Linked DNA regions of Oryctolagus cuniculus. The protein of the gene in region 3 interacts with the protein of the main gene of each other region in a biochemical or structural test. Links are inferred from orthologs where the notes say so. Each region holds a gene or a part of one and is shown on either strand. Other genes may lie near its edges. The genes, in order: STAT3, NR4A1 and MAPK8.

Evidence for each region.
Region 1: of the proteins of MAPK8 (region 3) and STAT3, one has a biochemical effect on the other in vitro, tested with the Homo sapiens proteins (2 studies listed by BioGRID). The link is inferred for Oryctolagus cuniculus from reciprocal best matches to the Homo sapiens genes MAPK8 and STAT3.
Region 2: of the proteins of MAPK8 (region 3) and NR4A1, one has a biochemical effect on the other in vitro, tested with the Homo sapiens proteins (2 studies listed by BioGRID). The link is inferred for Oryctolagus cuniculus from reciprocal best matches to the Homo sapiens genes MAPK8 and NR4A1.

What each region holds. Positions count from the first base shown.
Region 1 is NC_091448.1:20,435,171-20,442,485, forward strand, and holds the start of STAT3 (signal transducer and activator of transcription 3), read left to right. Parts: upstream 1-3,593; 5' UTR 3,594-3,638; intron 3,639-4,259; exon of another isoform or gene 4,260-4,394; intron 4,395-5,321; exon of another isoform or gene 5,322-5,492; intron 5,493-5,641; exon of another isoform or gene 5,642-5,699; intron 5,700-5,990; exon of another isoform or gene 5,991-6,107; intron 6,108-7,126; exon of another isoform or gene 7,127-7,315. UniProt on the Homo sapiens protein: Signal transducer and transcription activator that mediates cellular responses to interleukins, KITLG/SCF, LEP and other growth factors. Once activated, recruits coactivators, such as NCOA1 or MED1, to the promoter region of the target gene.
Region 2 is NC_091442.1:55,340,450-55,347,747, forward strand, and holds the start of NR4A1 (nuclear receptor subfamily 4immunitygroup A member 1), read left to right. Parts: upstream 1-2,459; 5' UTR 2,460-2,972; intron 2,973-7,116; 5' UTR 7,117-7,298. UniProt on the Homo sapiens protein: Orphan nuclear receptor. Binds the NGFI-B response element (NBRE) 5'-AAAGGTCA-3'. Binds 9-cis-retinoic acid outside of its ligand-binding (NR LBD) domain.
Region 3 is NC_091446.1:81,310,140-81,317,404, reverse strand, and holds the start of MAPK8 (mitogen-activated protein kinase 8), read right to left. Parts: upstream 4,078-7,265; 5' UTR 3,877-4,077; intron 1-3,876. UniProt on the Homo sapiens protein: Serine/threonine-protein kinase involved in various processes such as cell proliferation, differentiation, migration, transformation and programmed cell death.

The DNA.
Region 1 (7,315 bases), on a different chromosome or scaffold from region 3:
CCTTCCATCCATCCATCCATCCATCCATCCATCATTTCTTTCTAGATTTATTTGAAAGGCAGAGTGACAGAGAAAAGGAGAGACAAAGAGAAGAGAGATCTTCCATCTACTGGTTCACTTCCCAGATGGCCACAATGGCTGGGGCTGGGCCAGGCCGAAGCCAGGAGCCAGGAGCTTGGTCTGGGTCTCACACCTGCATGCAGGGGTGCAAGCACAGGCCATCCTCCACTGCTTTCCCAGGCACATTAACAGGGAGCTGGACTGGAAGTGCAGTAGCCAAGACTCAAACCAGTGCCCAGGGGGCCGGTGCTATGGCATAGTGGGTAAAGCTGCCACCTGTAATGCTGGCATCCCATATGGGTGCCAGTTCAAGTCCCAGCTGCTCCACTTCCAATCCAGCACCCTGCTAATACACCTGGGAAAGCAGCAGATGGCCCAAGTGCTTGGGCCCCTGCCAACCATGTAGGAAACCCAGAGAATGCTCCTGGCTTGGGCCTGGCCCAGCCCCACCTGTTGCAGCCATCTGGGGAGTGAAGGAGCAGATGGAAGATCTTTCTTGCTCTGTCTCTCTGTAACTCAGCCTTTCCAAGAAATAAAATAAATATTTTTTAAAAAAAGTGCCTATATGGGAGGTTGGCACTGCAGGTAGCTGCTTAAGCTGCTTCACCAGAGTGCTGGCCTCTGTGCCTGTCAATTTCAAATTCCAAATTCCTGGCACACAGAACCTGCTGGAGCCAGTTAACACCAGTGTTCACCGTGGATCCAAGGCAAGGAGGAGAGGTTCTTCAGTTACAGATGTGGCTGAAGGGAACCAGGGCATTGTTGGGAAGGGAGGGCTTGTGAGCTAGCAGGCAGGATGCAGGACAGATGGGGCATGGGGCTGCAAGTCTGATTAAGGAGCAGCTCACAGAGGAGAGTTAAAGGGGCCTCGATTCCAGATGAAGAAGCAGAAGGTGTCACACTACAGAGAAAGTAACTTACCTCTGTCTGCTGAGGCTTAGCATAAAAGAATTATCAGAAGATAGTCATGGAGGCCAGCGTGTGGCCTAGTAATTAAGAGACATGAGGCCTGCATCCCCCACTGGAGTGCCTGGGCTTAGTCCTTGGATCCAGCTTCTGATTCCAGCTTCCCGCTAATGCAGACCCTGGGAGGCAGCAGTGATGGCTTAAGTCGTTGGATCCCTGCTACCCACATGGCAGACCTGCACTGGGTTCCCACCTCTGACTTTGGCCCTGGCCTGGCCCTGGTCCAGTCCTGGCCACTGTGGGCTTTGGGGAGTGAACCAGCAGAAGGGAGCTCTATCTCCACCTCTAAAACATTTTTTTTTTTTAAAGAAAACAAGAAAGGTGTTGTTGAAGTGCTAGGAATAATGAGTTTGCCAAGGGAGGGAGTTGAGAGAGAAGAAGGTAGAATCTAGGATTAAGGCATCCTAGGGCCCACGATGCCAGCATCCCATATAGGCGCCGGTTCAAGACCCGGGTGCTCTGCTTCCATCTAGCTCCCTGCTAAAGGCTTGGCAAAGCAGCAGAAGCTGACCCAAGCATTTGGACCAATGCACCCGTGTGGGAGACCCAGAAGAAGCTCCTGACTCCTGACTTCGGCCTGGCCCAGCTCCAGCTGTTGAGGCCATCTGGAGAACAAAACAGCAAATGGAAGATCTCTCTCTTTCTCCCTGACCCCGGGTCCCTGCCCCCTAACTCTGCCTTTCAAATAAATAAATCTTAAAAAAAAAAAAAAAAAGGAATTAAAGGCACCCTTTGAGTGAAGTTTGAGACCAGCAAACTAGACTGTGGAGGGAGGGGTCACACAGGAGACAGGCGTCCTGCTGGGCACAGGGCACTCTCATCAGCATTACCTAGGAGAATTCCTGACACATATTGGATGTCCCCTGCCCAGAAAAGTCCCTGCCCCCTCCCTCCAGGCTTTGTCTCCGCTGGGTGACCAATACCCCTGCCCTGTGCATGGCTGCTCTATCAAGGATGATTGTCCAAGGGCTGGCATTTTGGTGCAGCAGGTTAAGCTGCTGCCTGCCATGCTGGTCTCCCATATAGGAGTGAAGGTTCCAGTCCCAGCTGCTCCATTTCTCACTCAGCTCCCTGCTAATGTGCCTGTGAAAGCAGCAGAGGATGGCCCAAGTGGTTGGGCCCCTACCACCCATGTGGGAGACCTGGAAGTTCCTGGCTCCTGGCCCAGCTCTAGCTGTTGCAGGCATTTGGGGAGTGAACCAGCAGATGGACGATCAATCTCTCTTCCCTCAATCCTCTGTTTCTCCCCCTCTGTCTCTGTAACTCTGCCTTTTACATAAACAAATAAATAAAAATCCTTAAAAAAAAAAAAAAAGGTAATGACAACCTATGGTGTAGGTACTTTCCTCTTCCTATGTCATAGATGAGGAAACAGATCCAGAGAGGTTCAGGAAGTAGCCTAGGGTCACACCGCCCAGTGGGCAGAGCGGCTGGGAAGTAGACTGAGTCAGGACCTGGCTCTCATCCACCAGGCTGCGCAGTCACCTTGAGGGTATCTTCCAAGCAAGAACATTTGAATACAAAATTACCAAGTCGGAATTATGCTCTCTAGTTAGATCAGGATGCCAAGGCTCAGAGAGGTTAGGGAACTCTCCCAAGGCTGCACAGCTGATCCTGGACCAGAACCTGGATTCAAACTTGGGGTGTCTCACTTCAGTTCCCGGGAGCTTTCACGTGAATGTGACTGCGTCTGTTGCCTGCGGTGATGGCCAAGGGGAGAGAGTGGCTAGGACGCTGCCCAGTATCAGCTTCTACAGCAAAGCTACGGGAAACGAGAGCATGTCCACTCTGGTCAGGAGGAGGCCCCTGGTGGCCTTCACGACCACTGTCCTCTGGTCAGGGGCTGGCAGAAGCCACCTAGGGCGAGCAAGTAGAGATGTGGGGGCAGTGATGAGAAGTGGAGGGGTAACTGAGGAAATACTAGGGTCAAGACAGAAAAGAGGAAGTGTCTTCAGAGACGGAGGGAGGAGAGAATTGATAAAGCTCAGAGGCAGAAGTGGGACACAGAACACTTCCACTTATTCACTACTTACTGAGCAGCTATTATGTGCTCCGCACAAGAGATCACCAAAGAGCCAAGATCCAGTGCAACTAACAGTGTAAGGAGGGAGATAACAAACTCTGTAAACAGATAAATAAAATGAGAGTTGTGATAAGAGTCCAGGAAACTGGACAGAGAGATAGTGATGAACAAGTTGGGACCAACTCTAGGCAGGAGTGGTTAGAGGAAGACTGAGTAAGATGGGAGTGGTGAGGCGGAAGTAGCTGTGCCAAAGCCAGGTGGAGAGAGGGAGCTGGCACATGCCAAGACCAAGGGCTGGGACGTGGCCTGGCTGGAATTCAGTAGGCAGCAGGGAGGGCCTTGCAGGGATGAGATAAAGGAAAACCCCTTCCCCTAAGCTCCCTGGGAAGCCCCGGAGGAACAGAATGGCATGGTGTGAATGCTGCTTAGGCAGTAGGGAATGACACAGCCTTGCCAACAGTGAAGAGGGAGGGCTGTTGATCAGCTGGGGAGAAAGAGAGAGGCTTGCAAGAGGATGCCTGCGGAGCAAGTCCCTGCTCTTCCCGGTGCTGTCAGTGAGAGGAGCCAGGCAGCCCTGTTGCTGAGCCCCGTGAAGGACCCCTTGCCTGTATGTTGTCACCTTTGGTCACCACCATGCCTCACCACCCACCTATCAGCCCAGAGGCCTTCTCTGCCATGCCACGTTTTTGTGTTTTGTTTATTTGAAAGGCAGAGCAACACAAAGACACACACACATAGAGCGATCTTCCGTCTGCTGGTTCACTCCCCAGATGCCAGCAATAGTCGAGGCTGGGTCAGGCCAAGGTCAGGAACCTGGAACTCCATCTGGGTCTCTCATGTGGGTGGCAGAGACCCAAGTGCTTGAGTGACCACCTGCTGCCTCCTCAGGTGCACAGAAGCCATGGAAGCTTCCATGGGAAGCAGAGGCAGGACTTGATCCCAGATGCTACAATACGGGATGTGGGTGTCGCAAGCCACAGCTTAACCTTCAGTGCCCTAAAGCCCACCCCAACCGCGCCTTTTTTTTAATTTTTAATTTGTTTATTTGGAAGGCAGAAATACAGAGAAGGAGGGGGAGAGAGAGAGAGAGAGAGAGATCTTCCATCACCAGTTCATTCCCCAAGTGTCTACAACAGTCAGGTCTGGGCCAGGCTGAAACTGAGAGCCAGGAGCTTCATCCTGGTCTCTCACATGAGTGCAGGGGCCCAAGCACTTGGGCCATCCTCTGCTGCTTTCCCAGGCACATTAGCAGGGAGCGGGATCAGAAGTGGAGCAGCTGGGACTCAAACCTGTGGATGCCGGCACTGCAGGTGGAGGCTTAACCTTCTATGCCACAGCACTGGCCCTGCAGTGTTTAAAAAAAAAAAAAAAAAAAAAAAAAAGGAAAGAAAGGCAGAGTGATGGGGTAGGAACAGAGACCTTCCATCTGCTGGTTACCCCCCAAATGCCTGAAATAGCCAGGACAGGGCCAGCTGAAGCTGGGAGCCAAGTTATTCAACCCAGGTCTCCCAAAGGCTGGCAGGGATCCAGCTGTTTGAGCCATCACCTGCTGCCTCCCAGGGCCTGCATTCGCAGGTTATTAGAATCAGGAGTGCAGCTGAGCGTGGAAGGCGGGCATTCTGATATGGGAGGCACATGTGTTCACTGTGCGGCCAAAGGCCAGCCCCAGGCCTTTTCTTTCTAAGCCTTAGTTTCCACAGTCATAAAATGAGAATTAGAACGCCTATGTCCTTGATCAAATGACAATCTCTGCGTAAAATGCTCAGTACAGTTCCTAGAACATAGTGATTAATAAAGGTTAATTATTTCATTTATAAGGAAGTGGGCTAGTAAATGGATACATTGCAGTTCAAGGTGGGGAAACACCTGCTGACGGCAGCCGAGAGGCAGACTGCCTGGGAGCACCGGGAAAGCCCAGAGGCGGCGATGCTGGAACCGCGCCTTCAAGAATGAGAGAGTTTTCAGCGAGGGAGCGAGGAAATGGAAGAGACATGGTGGGAGGGAAGAAAACCCACAGGGGCTGAAGTGGCGGGTGGTGCTGGCACGCCCTGGGGAAGGTGATCAGGGCAGGGCGGGAGTTCAGGTGGTGTGGGATGAGCCTGGACAAAGGGCTTCAGGTGAGAATACAGGATTTAGGAGTCGAATCGAGAGGACAAGGGGCATCAGCCCAGCTCCTGCCGCATGCCTGGCACTGAGTTAGGAGGTTGGTGCTTTTTTTTGAAGGAACTTGGATTTTTACCCTATGGATCACGGAGAACAGAAGAGATTTTGAGGCAGATGGCGACAGGGCTGAGTATTTATTCATATAACTTTTAGGATGATGCTCCTGGTAGCCAAGGGGAGATCGGGATGGAGTAAGGAGACAGTAGGGAAGCGGCCAGGCTTCGGCTCAAGAGGGAGAAGCTGCAGCGTTCAGCCGGTGGGGATTGGGGTCAGTCGGAGGCTGCAGAGGGTTTTTGTCCCTTTATCAGGCAGGCTCAGAGGTAGATTTCAGGGGAGAACGGTGGCGAGGGCAGTGAGGGGAGTGAACGCTCCTGAGGGGTCAGGGGTCACAGCTTACCAGGATGGAACAAAGCTGTGGCTCTGACCCACCTGGTGCACCTCCGGGTATCGCTGGGATTGGGCCCTCGTTGTCAGCGATGAAGGTGACCTGTTGTGAGAAAGGAGAGGAGAGTGTGTGAGCACCTTCCAAGCAGTAAATCACTGAGCAAATATCAGACCCTCTGCCACCAGGGAGGCCGTGAACTGCAAGGGGCCACACAGCTGGGATGGACTTTAGGGGAGGTGGCCATGGTGAAGATAAAGAGTGATCCATGACCCGTACATGCACTCTGTTTACAAACAGGCAATCCCACACTTCCGGGATCTACAGGACACCCCGAGACAGCTGTCCCAGCACCCCGACACTGACGGTTGCCTTATGGGTTCCCTCACCTCTCACTTGGATTTAAGGGCGCACCAGAAGTCTGAACCTGGAGTCTTGGGGGAACCATGTGAATTGCTGAGTATTTCTGGGGCTGGAATCCGTATTCTCCACCAAACTCTGAGATCCACTCCCCTTCAAAGGTTAAGAGACACTGATTTTTTTTCTCACCAAAAATTAAGAACAGCTATCCTTGGGGAAGACTGAATGAGGCAGGAGGGGGAGATTTTTCATTTAAAAATTTCTGGGAGGGGGGTCTGCCTCTCTTGGAGCCCCCCTCTTGGCTGCTGCATCCGGAGGTTTCTGACTTCAATAAATCTTGTTTTAAAATAAATATTTTGAGGGGCCAGTCCTGAGGCATTGCCGGTAAACCTGCTGCCTTCAGTGCCGGCATCCCGAATGGGAACTGGTTTGAGTCTCAGCTTCTCCACTTCTGATCCAGCTCCTTGCTAATGCTCCTGGGAAAGCAGTGGAAGCTGGCCCCAGGGCTTGGGTCCTTGTATTCAAGTGAGAGACTTGGAAGAAGCTCATGGTTCCTGATTTCAGATCCATCCAGCTCCAGTGGTTGTGGCCATTTGGGGAGTGAACCAGGGGATGGAAGATCTTGCTCTGCTCTCTCTCTGTAACTTTCAAATAAGTCTCTTAAAATTTTTCTGAATTGTTTGAATTTTTAAACCATGAACATGGATTAGTTTCACTGAGAAAAGTGTTATTAGAAGTTACGTGGGTGGTTGAGATAATGGGCCCTTTTTATATTTTATCTTATCTCGTTGTGTTAAACGATTTTTGTTTTTGCTAAAAAAAAAAAAAAAAAAAAAAGAACCCGGATAGAATGGAGCACACACACAACACTCTATTATGCAAAATTCACCCTATTACGAAAGGCAAAGTGTGTACATTTCCTATGAACGACCGGCTTCAGTTCAGTAATACCTGCATAGACAAGGTGGAAAAAAAATAGGGCAGACAACGGGGAGCATTTCGGCACAGAAATGTCAGCAAGGGGTCATCTTCACCTACAGTCCGCACGTGTGTGTACCGGCCCGCGCACTAGCGGCTGAAGGCACAGAACCCAAGACGGGGTTAAATCCACCGCCGTCTCCCACGCAATCTAGTAATTACTCTATTTCCACGTCATGTTTCCGGGTGTGTGTGTCCCAACTCACGCAGAAGCTGGGGTTCAAAGCAGGCAAGGGTCGCCCATGTTCGTCTTGTCGGCCCCAGAAACCCAGTCCAAGAGGAGGGCGCCTGGCAGATCTGGCGATACCCGGGGACCGTCTAACTGGCTGATTCCCACGTGGTAAGAACCTCTCAGTCTCGCCCCCACGTGGTGCCAAGGGCCG
Region 2 (7,298 bases), on a different chromosome or scaffold from region 3:
GGAGCCAATAGTAGACCACCAGGGTTCCACAGGTGTGGATGCTACCCCCGAGTGAGGGGAGGACACGCCCAGCAGAGTGGGGGAGTGGGTGAGACTCTTGGGACTTGGTGCTAGGGTCCACAAACGGGGCTCAAGGATGGTGCCGAGAGGAAACCCGATGGAAGGGGGGGTTCTATGAATACTCCCACCTTCCCTGGAGCGCGAGATTGAGCAATGGCGGTGGCCCTCCCTGCCCGCGGTCAGCCCTGAGGGAGACTGTGGGATTGCCCAGGGGCAGGCGAGACGTCAGGCCGCCGTGCGGTGCGGAGGCTGCTGGGTCCCGCTTGGAAAGCCGAGGACAGGGTCGTCAGGGGAAGGGAGTGGACAGGAGCGCGGGCTGGCCGCAGGTCCAGGTGGGACCTCAGGGCGCCAGCCCGGGGGGAGAGCGCTGCGCTGACCCCTAGTGGTGACCTCGAAACGCTGCTACCCATCCACGGTGCAGGGGCTTCTGCCAGGGCGGAGCCCCCCCTGAACCCACAACCCTTTATTTAAGCCCCTCCCGCCGCAGGGGTCCCCACTGGGGGGCTCCCAGGCCATTGAACCCTCCCCTATGCACCTCTGCGACCCATGCCTGGCGGTGGGATGCCACTGACGGGGCTGACTGGGTGGCCGATGGGGCAAACAGCACCAACTGACGGCAGGTGTGCCCCGTGAACCAGAGGGAACCTGGGACTTCTGCGCTCTGGGCCCCGCAAACCTCTGCGCGGGGCATGCCAGCGGGGCCCGGGCAGGAAGCGCGTTGGCCAAACGGAAATCAAAAATTTTGATGTCAAGGAAAACCTCCCAAATCTCAGTGACTTCCCTTCCTGGAGTTGGGCCTTTCCGGAGGCAATGTACAAATCACGCAACAAGGTAACAGTTGCGCAAGTGCCTGGGGCTCTCTCTGCCCACTGCTCGGTCTGCAGTCAGACTGGGCCTCCCGCACGCCCAGCCCCCCCTCCCCCTTTCTGGGTGAGTGAAGGCAAGCCCAGAAGTTGGTTACCTGTTGCAGCAGCAAATGGCTTCGGGGGACATTTAACAGTGCAGACACCCCACCCCCGCACTTCAGATTTTGTTCTAGCACCGGTTCGAGTCCCGGCTGCTCCACTTCCCAACCAGCTCCCTGCTAATATGCCTGGGAAAGCAGCAGAGGATGGCCCAAGTCCCTGGGCCCCTGCACCCATGTGGGAGATTCAGATGGAGGCCCCAGCTCCTGGCTTATGCCCGGCCATTGGGGCTGTTTGGGGAGTGAACCAGCAGATGGAGGATCTCTCTCTGTAGCACTGCGTTCCAGATAGGTAGGTAGGTAGGTAGGTAGGTAAATAGATAGATGGATTTTGACCCAGGAGTACTGGCGTGGGCTGGGGCGTTGCTATTTTAGGAGTGCCCGAGGTACCTCCTAAGAGTTTCTGGATGGATATTGGATCCCAATGGCCACATCCGTGTCCCAGCACCCGGGACCTGCTGACCGGCTCAGCGACAGAGGGCAACGGAGGGCTTCCCCACTGGCGGCGGCTCTTGGGGGTTCAAGTCTACACCAGGAGTTGGACCAGGCGGGGAGGGGGGTGGCGGCGGGGGTTGGAGCCGGCTGCCCACTAGACCGGGTTGTGGACTAGGCTGAAGCCGGGTGAGGGAGGCGCGCAGCATATCAGTGCCCACGCTCGCCCGCCCTGAGAGGTGCTTAGGGCTGGGACGCCAAGGCAGATTCGGCCCCCGGTAGGGGGGGAGGGTGGTTCGCAGCCGCTGCGACCCGCGGTGGGGGCGGAGACCAGGCGGGAAGCAGGTGGCAGCGCCCGAGTGAGCAACCGCTTCTTGGGGCAGCTGATCGCGTCGCCTTAGGAAATCCCGGAGACCAGGTGCAGCCCCTGCCGCCGCCCACGCGGGGGCCTTCCCCCGGCGCGCGCCCAGGCGGGACCCGTGGCCCTGCAAGCTCCGCCCCTAGGTGCCCGCGGCGGCCACGCTCCGGCCGCGCTGGTTCGCGGAGCTGCGGGGCGGCGTCGCCCCCTGGCGGGAAGGCTTGGGACTGGCGCGTCCGGCTTTCCCTCCTGGAAATGTAGGGATGTCGGTGCCGGCCCCACTGTCTGCCAGGAGTCAGGGCCTCTCCCTCAGGTTAGCCCGGTCCCGCCCGCCAGCCCCGGGACGCTGGGAGCTGGCAGGGGGTGCTTCTGCTGCCGCTGCTGCTGTGATGACAAACAGGGGGTCGGACCTTGCCCCCTGTCCAGCATTGCACGTGACCAGCGTCCGCAGAATTCCTCACCTCAGCATCTTCCCGCTCAGCCCTGTACCGATGCGCTTGCCTCGGGGTAAAGGCGCTTTGCTTTCCCTGGCCTCACCCGGGTGCCCGCTCTTGCAGAAACGCACCCTGCTGCGGGCCCCTGTATAATCAGCTCTCATTGCACGACGTCACCCCTCCACTAGAAGGCACGTGCAAGAAAAGTGGAGGCTCTCCGAGGTTCTTTATTCACCCCTTCGGTTCCTGCAACCTGGCGCACGGTCCGCTCTGCTTACGCTCGGGCGTGCACGTCCGTCCGACAGCCTTGCTCCCTTCCAAGGGGCGGCAGTGCCACTTGTGCCCGGTGGAGGGCGCCACCGCCCAGCGCTCCGGAGTGCAGGTGTCTCAGCGAAGCCCGAAGGCCTCGGCGCTCCCACCGCTGTGACCGGAAGCGGGAGGGCCCCCCGCGCTAATCTGCCCTGGCAGGCGGAGCTGGCATGCTCTGGCTGCATGGGCCGGCGCGCTGTGTGCCGCAGGCCAGAATGCCCGGACTGGTGGCTGGGACACAGCGCTCAGCAGCTGATGGAGCCATCACAGCCTGTCCCGGGCGCACAAGACGTTCTGCGAAGGTAGACACCTGGCCGATGTGACTGCTGTGCGTCTGTAACCGGTCGTGGCAGCAGACTGGCAACCAGAGGGCCAATTAGAGGCGACTTAGAGGAGTCTCGAGGCTGCCCCGGAGGTGAGTTTATGAAGGGGATTAAGACGGCGAAGGAGACGGAGGTTAAAAATAGCAACCACTTTTCACCAGGAGCTTATTAGGAGCCAGAGCTGAGGACAGCGCCTCCAGACATTGTCTAATTATAGCCAACACTTATACCGGCGTTGCTCTCGCGCCAGGAACTGCCTGAGCGCCTCGGCCAGGCACGCAGCTGCTCCTCACGGTAGCTCAGGGCTGTAGGTGGCATCTCTGTCCCTGTCCCGCACATGGGGAAACTGAGGCACAAGGGCCTAAAGAACTGGCCCCAGGCCACGCGCCGGGCTGGGATGAAGACAGCTAGGAGTTATCATCAGGCCCAGCACACCTAAAAGACCATGTGAAGCCACCCAAGAGCAGGTGCATCTTAGCCCAGTGTCACCACCAGGCTGAGCCTCCCAGCGCCCACAGAGGTGGCCGCAGCGGTGGGCACAGGTGCAACAGTGGACACAACGCCTCCTCTTCTAGTGGTGCACGGGGACAGAGAACAGAGGCCAGGGCAGCTGGAGGAGTTTGCTCCACGGGCTTGGCTCACAGGAGGGAGAAGCCAGGCCATGGCGGAGGTGTGCTGGTGGCTGTCACCCCCACGCCTGTTGATGGTGATTCCACCCAGAATCTTGGGCTCCGTCCACCCACGTCCACGGGGCAGCATGCACTCTGAGGGGCTGGCCCTCCACGGAGGAGACTGGAGCATGCCTGCCCTTGCTCCAAGTACCCACCACTCAGCTCCTGGCTGCCAGCTTTTACATAAGCTGCTCCATACCAGGGCTGGCCGGGCTGGGCTGGGGGCATGATGAATGGTTCTGGGCCGTCAGCTGACAGCCCTGTGCTCCCGAGGTGACCTGAGGGCCCATCGGCAGCTCGGGTTACCCAGCCCTTCCCGGGAGGGCAGTCCTGCCTGGCTTGCAGAGGACCGTCCCAAAGTGCCTCTGTGTCTGGACATTTATGGTGTGGGTGCTGAGGGACCGCCCCGCGCACAGCCACGCCGCGCCCACCGCTGGGTCTCTGCAGCCGGCGCCGGGGGAGTTGGGGGCTCCCCTAGCACCTCGGAGTCCTGAGCCTGAGGAATTGCAGGTGGGAGGGGAGTGCACGCCAGCCGCATTCCCATGCCTCCCATTCCAGTCCGCTCTGTCCCTGCACTTATGGTCGTGGACACAAGGGGGCGCCCGCACACCCTGATGCCCACCGCAGAGGACAGCACCAGACACACCAACCCCGAGGTCCTGAGTGGCCTGGGCTAGACTCTCACAGACCACGTGGGGAGTGGGACGGTGCGCCTCCGGGGGCTGCGCTCATGTGCTCAGACCTATGGGGCCACCCGGATCGTGCACCTGTTGACACCTGCTGCTGAACAGATCAGGCCAGCGTTTAACCCAGCTATTAGGATGCCGGTTAAGACGCCCACGGGCCCCATCCTAGTGTCTGGTTCAAGGCCTGGCTCCAGCTTCCTGCCAATGCAGAGCCTGGGAGGAGGCAGTGATGACTAGAGATCACGTGGGAGACCTGGATTTAGTTCCCAGCTCCCAGTTTTGGCCCAGCCCTGGCCATTCTGGGCATGAATCATCAGATAGGAGCTCTGTCTCCTTTATTTAATTTTTTGAATTACTTATTTGTTACTTACGTGAAAGAAGCAGACGGCCTATTTGGTCATTTCCCCCAAAAGTCTGTAATAGCCGGGGCTGGGCAGGGCTGCAGCCAGGAGACGGGATGTCATCCAGGTCTCCCACATGGGGGCGGGAACTCGACCACTGGCGCCACTACCGCCGCCTCTCCGGGTCTGCCCTGGAGTCGGGAGCTGGCCCTCGAACCCAGGCACTCTGGTGTGGGAGGTGGCTGAACTGCTAGGTCTGGTACATGCCCCTCAAATAACAGTAAAAACCTTCCCCAAGAAAATAGTAATGCTTTATAAATTACTAGGTGTTACATCCCCTAATTGGCTGGTGCTGTAGTGCAGCAGGTTAAGCCATAGCCTGCAGCGCCGGCATCTCATATGGGCGCCAGTTCAAGTCCCGGCTGCTCCACTTCTGATCCATTTCCCTACTAATGTACCTGGGAGAGCAGCAGAGGAAGATGGCCCAAGTCCTTGGGTCCCCATACCCATGTGGGAGACCCGGAAGAAGCTCCTGACTCTTGTAAATACACACACTCACACACATGCATACACATTCATGCACACGTGCACACACGCGCACACATGCACACCTCTCTGCTCTCCTTGGTGCTCACACACGCGGCCCAGACTCCCTCTGAACTCCTGCAGCAGCGCCCCTCCCCCACCCCCGACGTGCCCTGCCCATGCCCAGGTGCGGCCTCTGCCTCTGCACCCCTCTCCTGAGCTGTGGGTGGGTCCAAGCCACAGGGGAGACGGCCCCCAAAGCCACACCAGAGATGGGCACAGCACGGGCCACACCTGTGGGGGAGCGGGGGGGGGCGTGGCGTGGCCTCCCCGGTGCCTGCCTCCTGCCTGCCTCCCTGTCTCCCCCCCCCCCCAGGGGGTTTTTCGCCAGTAACCGGAGCTGGCTTGCTGGTGAAAGCAGGAGCAGCCGTGTCTCCTGGCAACGGCGACTGCACACAAGATCCAGCTAATCCCAGGCTGGCCCGGCCGCCTGCCGCCCGGCGCACACCCCCGGAAACACTGCTCACACACCTCTCCCTCATCCCAGCCCAGGCTTGCAGGGGCAAGGAGGACCCTTTCTTTCTCCATCCTCTCTGTCTCTTTCCCGTCTTCCAGCACTGGGGCCCATCAGAGCACGGAGCATGCGACAACATGGCGGGGGCCAGCCTCTGAGGCCACCCTGTTTTGCATGCAGAGCTACACGCTGCTGCTTCCGGGCCGGGGCCCCTGGATCTGCTCCTTGATGTCCTGGTTCCTCAATACTAAAATAGCACTCACCTGAAGAGAGGAAGCAGGCAGCACAGTGCTGGGCTCCAGGCCCTGCAGGATTTGGCCCCATCCCGGCTCTGGCCTCACCTCCTTTAGTCCCCTCCCTTTTATGCTGCTCTTCTAACGGGCCAGGCTCTGTGGTGTGGCAGGTTAGGGCACCAGCTGCGATGCTGGCACCCCATATCAGAGCGCTGGTTCAAGTCCCCAGCAGGCTCCACTTCCCATACAGCTCCCTGCTAACATGCCCCGGGGGAAGGCAGCTGATAACGGCCCCAAGTACTTGGGCCCCTGCCACTCATGTGGGAGACTCAGCTGGCTCTGCGCTTTCTGCCTGTGAAATATCTCACTGATACCCTGCATTGCATTATCTTTTTACATCTGTGATGCTTAATTTTTATTTGCAAAGACATGCATTGAACTGTAGTTTCTTGCTGTTGCAAGCTTTTTGGGAGAGTAAACCAGTGATTCCTCTCTCTCTCTTTCACTCTCTCTTACTCTCTTTCGCTCGCTCTCTCTCACTCTCTCTCTCCTGTTTTCCCAATAAATATACATTATAAGAGCACTTGGAATTGATGCAATGTTTAGGGTGCCACGTGGGGTGCCCACATCCCACACTGGGGTGTCTGATTGAATCCTGATTCCTTTGTTTCAGATCCAGCTTCCCGCTGGTGTGTACCCTAAGAGGGAAGAGGTGATATCTGGGATACCTAGGTCCCTGCCCTCCATGTTGGAGACCTGGAATAAGTCCCAGACTTTGGCTTTGGCCTGACCCAGCCCTAGTTGTTTCTGGCATTTGGGGAGGGAACCAGTAGATGAAGGATCTCTTTCTGTCTCTGTCTTTCTCACTGTCTTTCAAATAAAGCAAAATAAATAAATAAATAAATAAATAAATAAATAAATAAAATTTAAATGCATTAAAAGCGGGGCAGCTGTCATGGGAGGAGACCTGCATCCTCTCTTGGAGTGCTGGTTCAACCTCTGGCTGCTCTTGCTTATGACTCCTGGGAGGCAACGGATGATACTCAAGTGGTTGGGCCCCTGCCGCCCAGGTGGGGGACCCAGGCAGAGTTCCTGGCTCCTGGTTCCCACGTGGTCCAGCCCTGGCTGTTGTGTACATTTGGGGGAGTGAGCCAGCAAATGGAAGATCTCTCTCCCCAACCCCCTGGCCCTGTCTCTCTCTTTCTCTCTCTGCTGTTCTTCCTTTCAAATAGATGAGAATAAATACACATTTTTTTTAATTCAAAGGGAAAAAGAACAACAAGGCAGAGGAAAGGCGAATTCACGCTGTTCTGGGGGCCACGGCTGTCCATCGGAGACTTCTGGCTGGCGGCTTCCCTGGGCCCAGGGCTAGCAGGCTGTGGACTGCTCGGCTTCTGCGACCTGGTGAGCCAGGTCCTCACGCCACCTCTCTTTCTTTCTACTCATCT
Region 3 (7,265 bases):
ACCACTGGGATCATGGACTGGAACTTGGGAATGGCCCTAGTCCATATGAGCGATCACTGTGAGGTTTGGGTCCCTCAACTTCTTCAAGAATTGGCCAGTTTTAGCCCAATCTGGTGTACAAGTAAAAGCTAACAGTAGACACAGACATATGTCACATGTATGACATAACCCAATACCTTGAAAAATAGTAGCTAGTAAGATTTTCAAAAGTATCAGATACAATTTTGAAAACCTGGGTTTCAGTGAAATCTGGCCTGCCTAGAGATTTGTAGTGGGTTCTCTGCTTGAGGGAAGCCTCACACATCTTTTCAGAGCACAAGTCCACTGCTTAGATATGGCTCATATTCCATCCTTGATCATAAGCTTCTTACGGCTAGTGAACCTCCATTTTCATTTCTTTCACAAAGTCTCTGAGAGCAGCAAGTCTCCTTAGAAAGCATGGTGTTGTAGGATGAACAGAATCTACCATTAAAACAATAACAATCTTGAGCTTATGGTTATGCTTTTCTTTTCTAGTCTGGCTAACTCAACAATGTTCTCTGCTAACAACTAACAGAAGCCTAACTTTCACTGCTGTTCTGGACCCCAGCTTCTTTCTGAAGAAACACCTAATTGGGAACAAACTTCTATTTAAAAAAAAAAAAAAAAAAAGGCATTCCGACAGCCTCAGTTTATAGTTGTAGAACCACCTTGCTTAAGACTCCAAAGTCAGCTAAGTAACAAGTGAACCTAGGTCTGCTCCCAGACCATATTATTTCAATACTCTTGTCAACTTTCAGGTAGTAAAATCTCTTGAATCAGAACTCATTTCTGAAATCAAATTCAAGTTAACCTGCATTAGCGTAAGAATGCAAAGCTTCTAAATATTCAGGTAAAGAGTTCATGACTAAGACAATAAGCATCACAGCTCACTAAAATAGGCAAATGATTCATATCTAAAGTTACACGGTTATAATGACTTCCTTGCATTACATGAATCAGAAAGGCTACTGCCCGTACCAAGGACTTGACCAGAGACCTCGAGAGAGCCGGCATCCTAAAGCCAGACACTATTTCATTCTTCCACACGTGCAACAAAGCATCTCAACCACGCAGATGACTCAAATATGTCAAAACTCAGCGTGATGGCAAAGCCCCAACCGAGGCAGGCGCCTACTCAACAACCTTAATTACCACCAGGATAGTTTGTGACTAGTCATTTAATAACAAATTACTTCAAGTTGTTTCACTAAACACCGTGGATCACCACAGGTCATTTCCGTAATATAAAGTAAGGGTATACTGAAGATTCTAGGTGAATTAATTTTGATACAATTTACTCTTCCTCTGAGTCCTTTTCCAATGTGAAGAGGTATGAAGGACAGTTTCCTGTTCCTCCAGGACACTCAAAGGTGCCCTTTGCAAAGTCATTAAAGGCATGGATTTAGTTAACAGAAGCAGCGCCATCTCTCCCTTTAAAACATTTTTCAAATGCTGAGTGATTGCTAATAGGCATGGGGTTTCTTCCCTGGCTGATGACAATACTCTGGAATTTAAAAGCAGTGATCAATATATAACTTTGTGAACATACTAAAAAAACACTGAAATGGAACACTCTAAAAGGATGAATTTTATGATATGTGAATTAAATGTAAAGAATGCTATTAAAAAAAAATTTAGGGAAAAAAAAGCAGCCACAACTCTAGTTCTTTAAATTGCCTGACCAAAGGGTTTTTATCAGTAAGCCCTACTGGATCCTGACATCTGACTAACTTGGTAAAGCAATTAAAATTTGGTATCTCAAGATTATCATTCCGTATTTTAATAAAGTATCACTTTATTATTTCTTCATTTCTACTAGACATCAAACAGTAAGTTCACCTCAACTTCTTTCATATCAAAACAAATGTGAAAATGTACTTAGCAGTGAGTGGGAAACAGCTATAACTTGAATAATTAGGTATTATTTTGAGTTTTAGTCCCACATGCGTCATGAAGTGTTAATATAAGGAGTTAAACATTTCCAATTAATGCTTCTAAAATCCTATTAGAAGTTACATATTTCTAATAAAACATTTACACAGTCTATATCCTTTTTTCTAGCTTTTCTACTGAAAGAAGTAGTCAAAAACCTCTCAATACTTACAAGAAGATAAACGCAATCATTTCAGCCTCCTACTAAAATACCACTCTGTGTGTGTGTACACGTACACGACACGCCTTGGCCCCTACAATCCAACTTACTTTATGAATCACCAGAAAACACTTAGACAAGGTTTTATTTTAGGATAGTGGATGGCCTAGAAGTGACGGGGGGTGGGGGGGGATGGGGGGGAATGACACCAAAGTGACTCAAAAGCCCATAACCCATCTCCTATTATATGAAACCGATCGTTTGGCTATGTGGAAGAGAATCGCAGGAACCTTCCGCAAACCATATGAACGTTAATAAAAGTTGTATTGAGCACTTACTATTTCCCCGGCTAGAAAAAGAGAAACAGATGGAAGACAGGCCTGCTCTCCAGGAAGTCCCAGGCTTTAGTCAGACTCAGCACCACAGCCTCGGACCTCCTGGGTTTCACGTTAACCGCGGCGGCCGGGTCTGAGGTAGCCATCCCAAATGACCACAGGGCTCGAAGACTGGGCAAAAAAAATAAAAAATTTTTTGAAAGTAAAAACTATTGTGGATTTAGATCAAAGATAACTATCTCCTCGTATAACATTTTACTTGAACTTCCAGAGATTCTGTTAAAAACTAGTAAAATGACCCAGCGCACAACTCTACCTCCACACACGCATCGCTTATATAACCATCTCATTTAAAGGCACATCTGCTACACTGCAACCAAGGCTTCCTCCTCCACTGAGGGCCGTCTTCCCTTTACATGCAAACCTCTCCCCTGTGGGCGCAGTAGGGAGCAGCTGCCGAATGAATGAATGAATGAATGAATGGAACACACGCGCGCGCGCACACACACACACACACACACACACGGATGTTCTCGCTTCAAGCAGGCACTGGATGCTTAGCTGACAGACCAGAATTCCACCGGAAAGACCACCGCATCTACAAACAGCGACCACCGGACATTGTCTCCTACCGCGCGGTCAACACGGCGATCCACGCACAGTACAGACGCGAGGGGGAACTTGAAGACGCCACAGTGTCCAAGGCGGCCTCGCTTCCACCACCCGCCGGGGGTCGGGAACGCCAGCGCAGACAAAGCGACGGCACGGTGGGGAGAAGCAGCCCAGAGGTCACCACCGAAGTGACCCGCAGCGGGGACACGCGCGCTGGCCACGCAGGCTCGGGGCCGGGATCGAGGGGCACCCTCCACGCACGGGCCGCGGGGCCTGGCCTCCCCCAGGCCGCCTTCGACTAGGAAGCCCGCGCACAAAGGAACCTCGCCGAGCGACACGCGCACACACACACGGTCCCCGTGGGCGCCGGGGCGGGCGCGCGGACCCTGTCGCCAGCGCGCCGGCCCCCGGCGCCGGGGAGTCGGCTGCGCGCCGCGGGCCGCCCGGGCCCCCTTCGCCCAAGTGCTTCCCAAGTTGCCGCCCACCCCCATCTTCTCCTCCCGACGCGCAAGCGGGACCCCCGCGAGGAGGGCGTGCAACGACAGCGACGCGCGCGCGCGGGCCGGGCCGGGCCGGGCCGGGCCGAGCCGACCCGGGGCGCCGAGCCGGGGCGCGCGTCCGGCGCCCGCGGCCCCACGCCCCCCGCGGCCGCCCCCGCCTCCGGGGCCGCTATTGTTCCCGCGCCGCCCCCGCCCGCCGCGCGCGCCCGCCCCCACGCCCGGGGAGGGGTTCACGGCTGAGGAGAAGGCGGCGGCGGCCGCACAATAACATAAACACGGCGGGGCCGCCGGCAGCCGCGGCGCCCGCCACACTCACCCGGCAGCGCGGCGAACAGCGACGGGGAAGCCCGCCGGCGGGCACGGGCGCCGTCCGGGCGGTCGCCGCGGCCGTTACCCAGCGCAGCTCGCGGCTCCGCGCTCCAGGCTGCGTCGTCCGGCCTCGGCCGCTCCGCTGAGTAACAGGGACGCGCGGGCCGTCACCGCGCACGCCCGCCCACGTCATCGCGCAGAGCCCCGCCCCCCGCGCCTCCGAGCGGCCCGCGGGGCGGGGCGCCCCGGGGCCCGGATTGCGGGGGCGGGGCCGCGGCCCGGGGGCGGGGCTACCCGCCGCGGAGGTCGCCAGGAGGAGGAGCCCCCGGAGCGCCGCCCGACAGCCGCGTGCGAGGGGCGTGGCCGCGGGCCGGTGCGGGCGGGGTCCCGGTGGCGGCACGTGGCGGCGCGTGGCCCGGGCGGGTGGCGGCTGCCCCGCGGCGGTCCGCTGATGCGCGCCTGCACCTGCAGGGCTCCTCGCCCCGGGCGTGGAAGGTCATACCAACCCGGCGAGCAGGTGCACCCACTTGGGCGCACACCTGGGAGACCGGAGCCGGTTACCGTGACCGACTGGACTCTGCATACTGAGGACACCCGCCTGGGGCCCGGCGTCCGGAGGCAAATCCAAGGCCTTTATTAGCCTCCTGTTTGTTTTCTGAAAACGCACCTAGTCCGGATTCCTTGCATTGCCGGGTTTACAGCTGAAGCTCCTCAGAGAAATTGACAGGTCCTTAAAGACCCAACAACAGGAGGAAGGCACCTGCGTTACTGTCAGGCGTGCTATAGAGCACGTTTTAGGAATGTGTTCGAGGAAGTGTTACCAAATTGGGAAAGACAAAGAAGCAACAAGGACACCCACATACACGGAGTGATCCGTGTCAGTACTGCCTAGTACCTAGGGGGAAAAAACTGGAAAGAAATGTGCCAGGGGCCGGCGCGGTGGCTTAGGCGGTAAAGCTGCTGCCTGCGATGCGGGCATCCCATATGAGCTCCTGTCCGAGTCCTGGCTGCTCCACTTCGCATCCAGCTCCCTGCTAATGGCCTGGGAAAGCAGCAGAGGATGGCCCAAGTGCTTGGGCCCCTGCATGCACATGGGAGACCCAGAAGAAGCTCCGGATCCCTAGGTCCGGACTGGCACAGCTCCACCTCCAGCCATTGCGACCATCTGGGGAGTGAACCAGCAGATGGATCTCTCTCTCTCTCCCTGTAACTCTGCCTTTCAAATAAATAAGTAAATTTTTTAAAAAGAGAAATGTGCCAGATTATTTTAACATCTGTTCATCATTAGACAGAGTGAAGGGTGATTTGGGTCTTTGTTATACTGTGGGTATAACAAACCCCACGCCTAGTACAGCCATACTGGCCCTGCTGAAGGTCTTTCTTTCTGACAGGTTCTGCAGTGGGGGTGGGGGTGGTTGGGGGGAGTGGCATAGTCAGAATGACATCTTTTTTTATTTTTTATTTTTGACAGGCAAAGTTATAGACAGTGAGAGAGACAGAGAGAAAGGTCTTCCTTCCATTGGTTCACTCCCCAAATGGCCGCTACAGCTGGTCTGCGCTGATCCGAAGCCAGGAGCCAGGTGCTTCCTCCTGGTCTCCCCTGTGGGTGCAGGCACCCAAGCACTTGGGCCATCCTCCACTGCCTTCCTGGGCCACAGCAGAGAGCTGGATTGGAAGAGGAGCAACCGGGACTAAAACCCGGTGCCCATATGGGATGCGAGCGTCGCAGGTGGAGGATTAACCAAGTGATCCACAGCTCAGAATGTCCTCAGAATGACATCTTGAAAAGAGTCCTATTAGGGGCCTGTGCTGTGGTGTGCAGGTTAAGCCATAGCCTGCAGCACCAGCATCCCATATGGACACCAGTTCAAGTCTCGGTTGTTCCACTTCTGATCCAGCTCTCAGCTAATGTACCTGGGAAAGCAGTGGAAGATGGCCCAAGTGCTTGGGCCCCTGCACCCATATGGGAGACCTAGATGACGCCTCTGACTCTTGTCTCCTGGCTTCAGCCTGGCCCAACCCCAGCTGTTGCAGCCATTTGGGGAATGAACCAGTGGATAGAAGCTCTATCTTTCTCACTTCATCTCTCCTTCTCTCGCTGTAACGAAAAGAAAGGTCCTATTGGAAGGAAGTCACTTGATTGTAGGAGTGACTTAGATAGCAAAAGGTGGAGACCCAGTCTAGGCTTGTTGTCATGGAAACAGTAAGTAGAAGGACCGGAGGACTGTTGGAACATCCAGTGTGCACAGCTTGCACGTTTTGCAAGTGGTGGGTGAGAGGGGATCATCTTGGGACTCTCGTAGGCTTCTGGCCTGTGGCCAAGGATAGAAGCTGGTGCTGATCCTGCAATGTGGGACTCTTGGAGCAGGCCCAGTGCGGCGGGGGGAAGATCATGAGAGCAGATTCGCTGGTGGTCTGACCACTATTGATATGCCCGAAAGAATTGCCTAGTTGGCAGTTGTACTGACACGGCTGGGGCTTGCTAGGTAAGAGATGAATCACTGACCAAAGGAGTGACCTAAAGCCTAGGGTGTGGACGAGTGAGCCTAGGCCATGGAGAGACAGTGTAGTGTAGTGTGTGAGAAGAGGGCCTAGAGCCAGGCACTGAGCAGCCGTGATAAGGAAGATGAGCCTGTTACAGAACTACCAGGGACATAGAAGAAAAACAGCGAGAGAAAGGGGTGACCAATAATATCAACATGAGGGGTGAGATAAGTTGTGAGCAACCAGGACTCCAACCCCCACCCCCATATGAGAGGGGTTGGAGTTCTGGTTGCTCCACTTGCAATCCAGTTGCCTGCTAATGCTCCTGGGAAAACAGTGGAGGATGGACCAAGTGCTTGGGCCCCTGCCACCCACATGGGAGACCAGCATGGAGATCCAGACTCCTGGCTTTGGTTTATCCCAGCCCTGACTGTTGCAGTCATTTGGGAGTGAACCAAAAAAGGGAAGATTCTCTCTCTCTCTCTCTCTTTCTCCCTCTCTCTCTCCCTTCTAAATAAATTAATAAATCTTTAAAAAAAAAAAACCCACACTGTGCCCCCACAAATATGCACAATGGTCTTGTGATAATTTTTTTAACCTTTAAAGATAATTCGGTGGGAAGTTTCAACAGCTCCTTAGCTCTGTTCCTAAAGCAGATTCCCAGATGACAGCTTCACTTCTGAGGGTAGGTTTATTGCCCCTCTTGCTAAAACCCTGCAGGTTGGCACAGCTGGTCAGCCTGCCCAGTTCAGGGCTTATTATAGGAAGGGGAGGCAAGTGGGAAAGAGTTGCGTTTCAGGACTTGGGAAATAAGAGAGGGAAGAGCTATGACCCTTGTGGGTGTGGCCCTCTGAATCCCGGGACAGCTACACAGGGATGCAGCTCACATTCTAACTGATGCTGGAACGATGG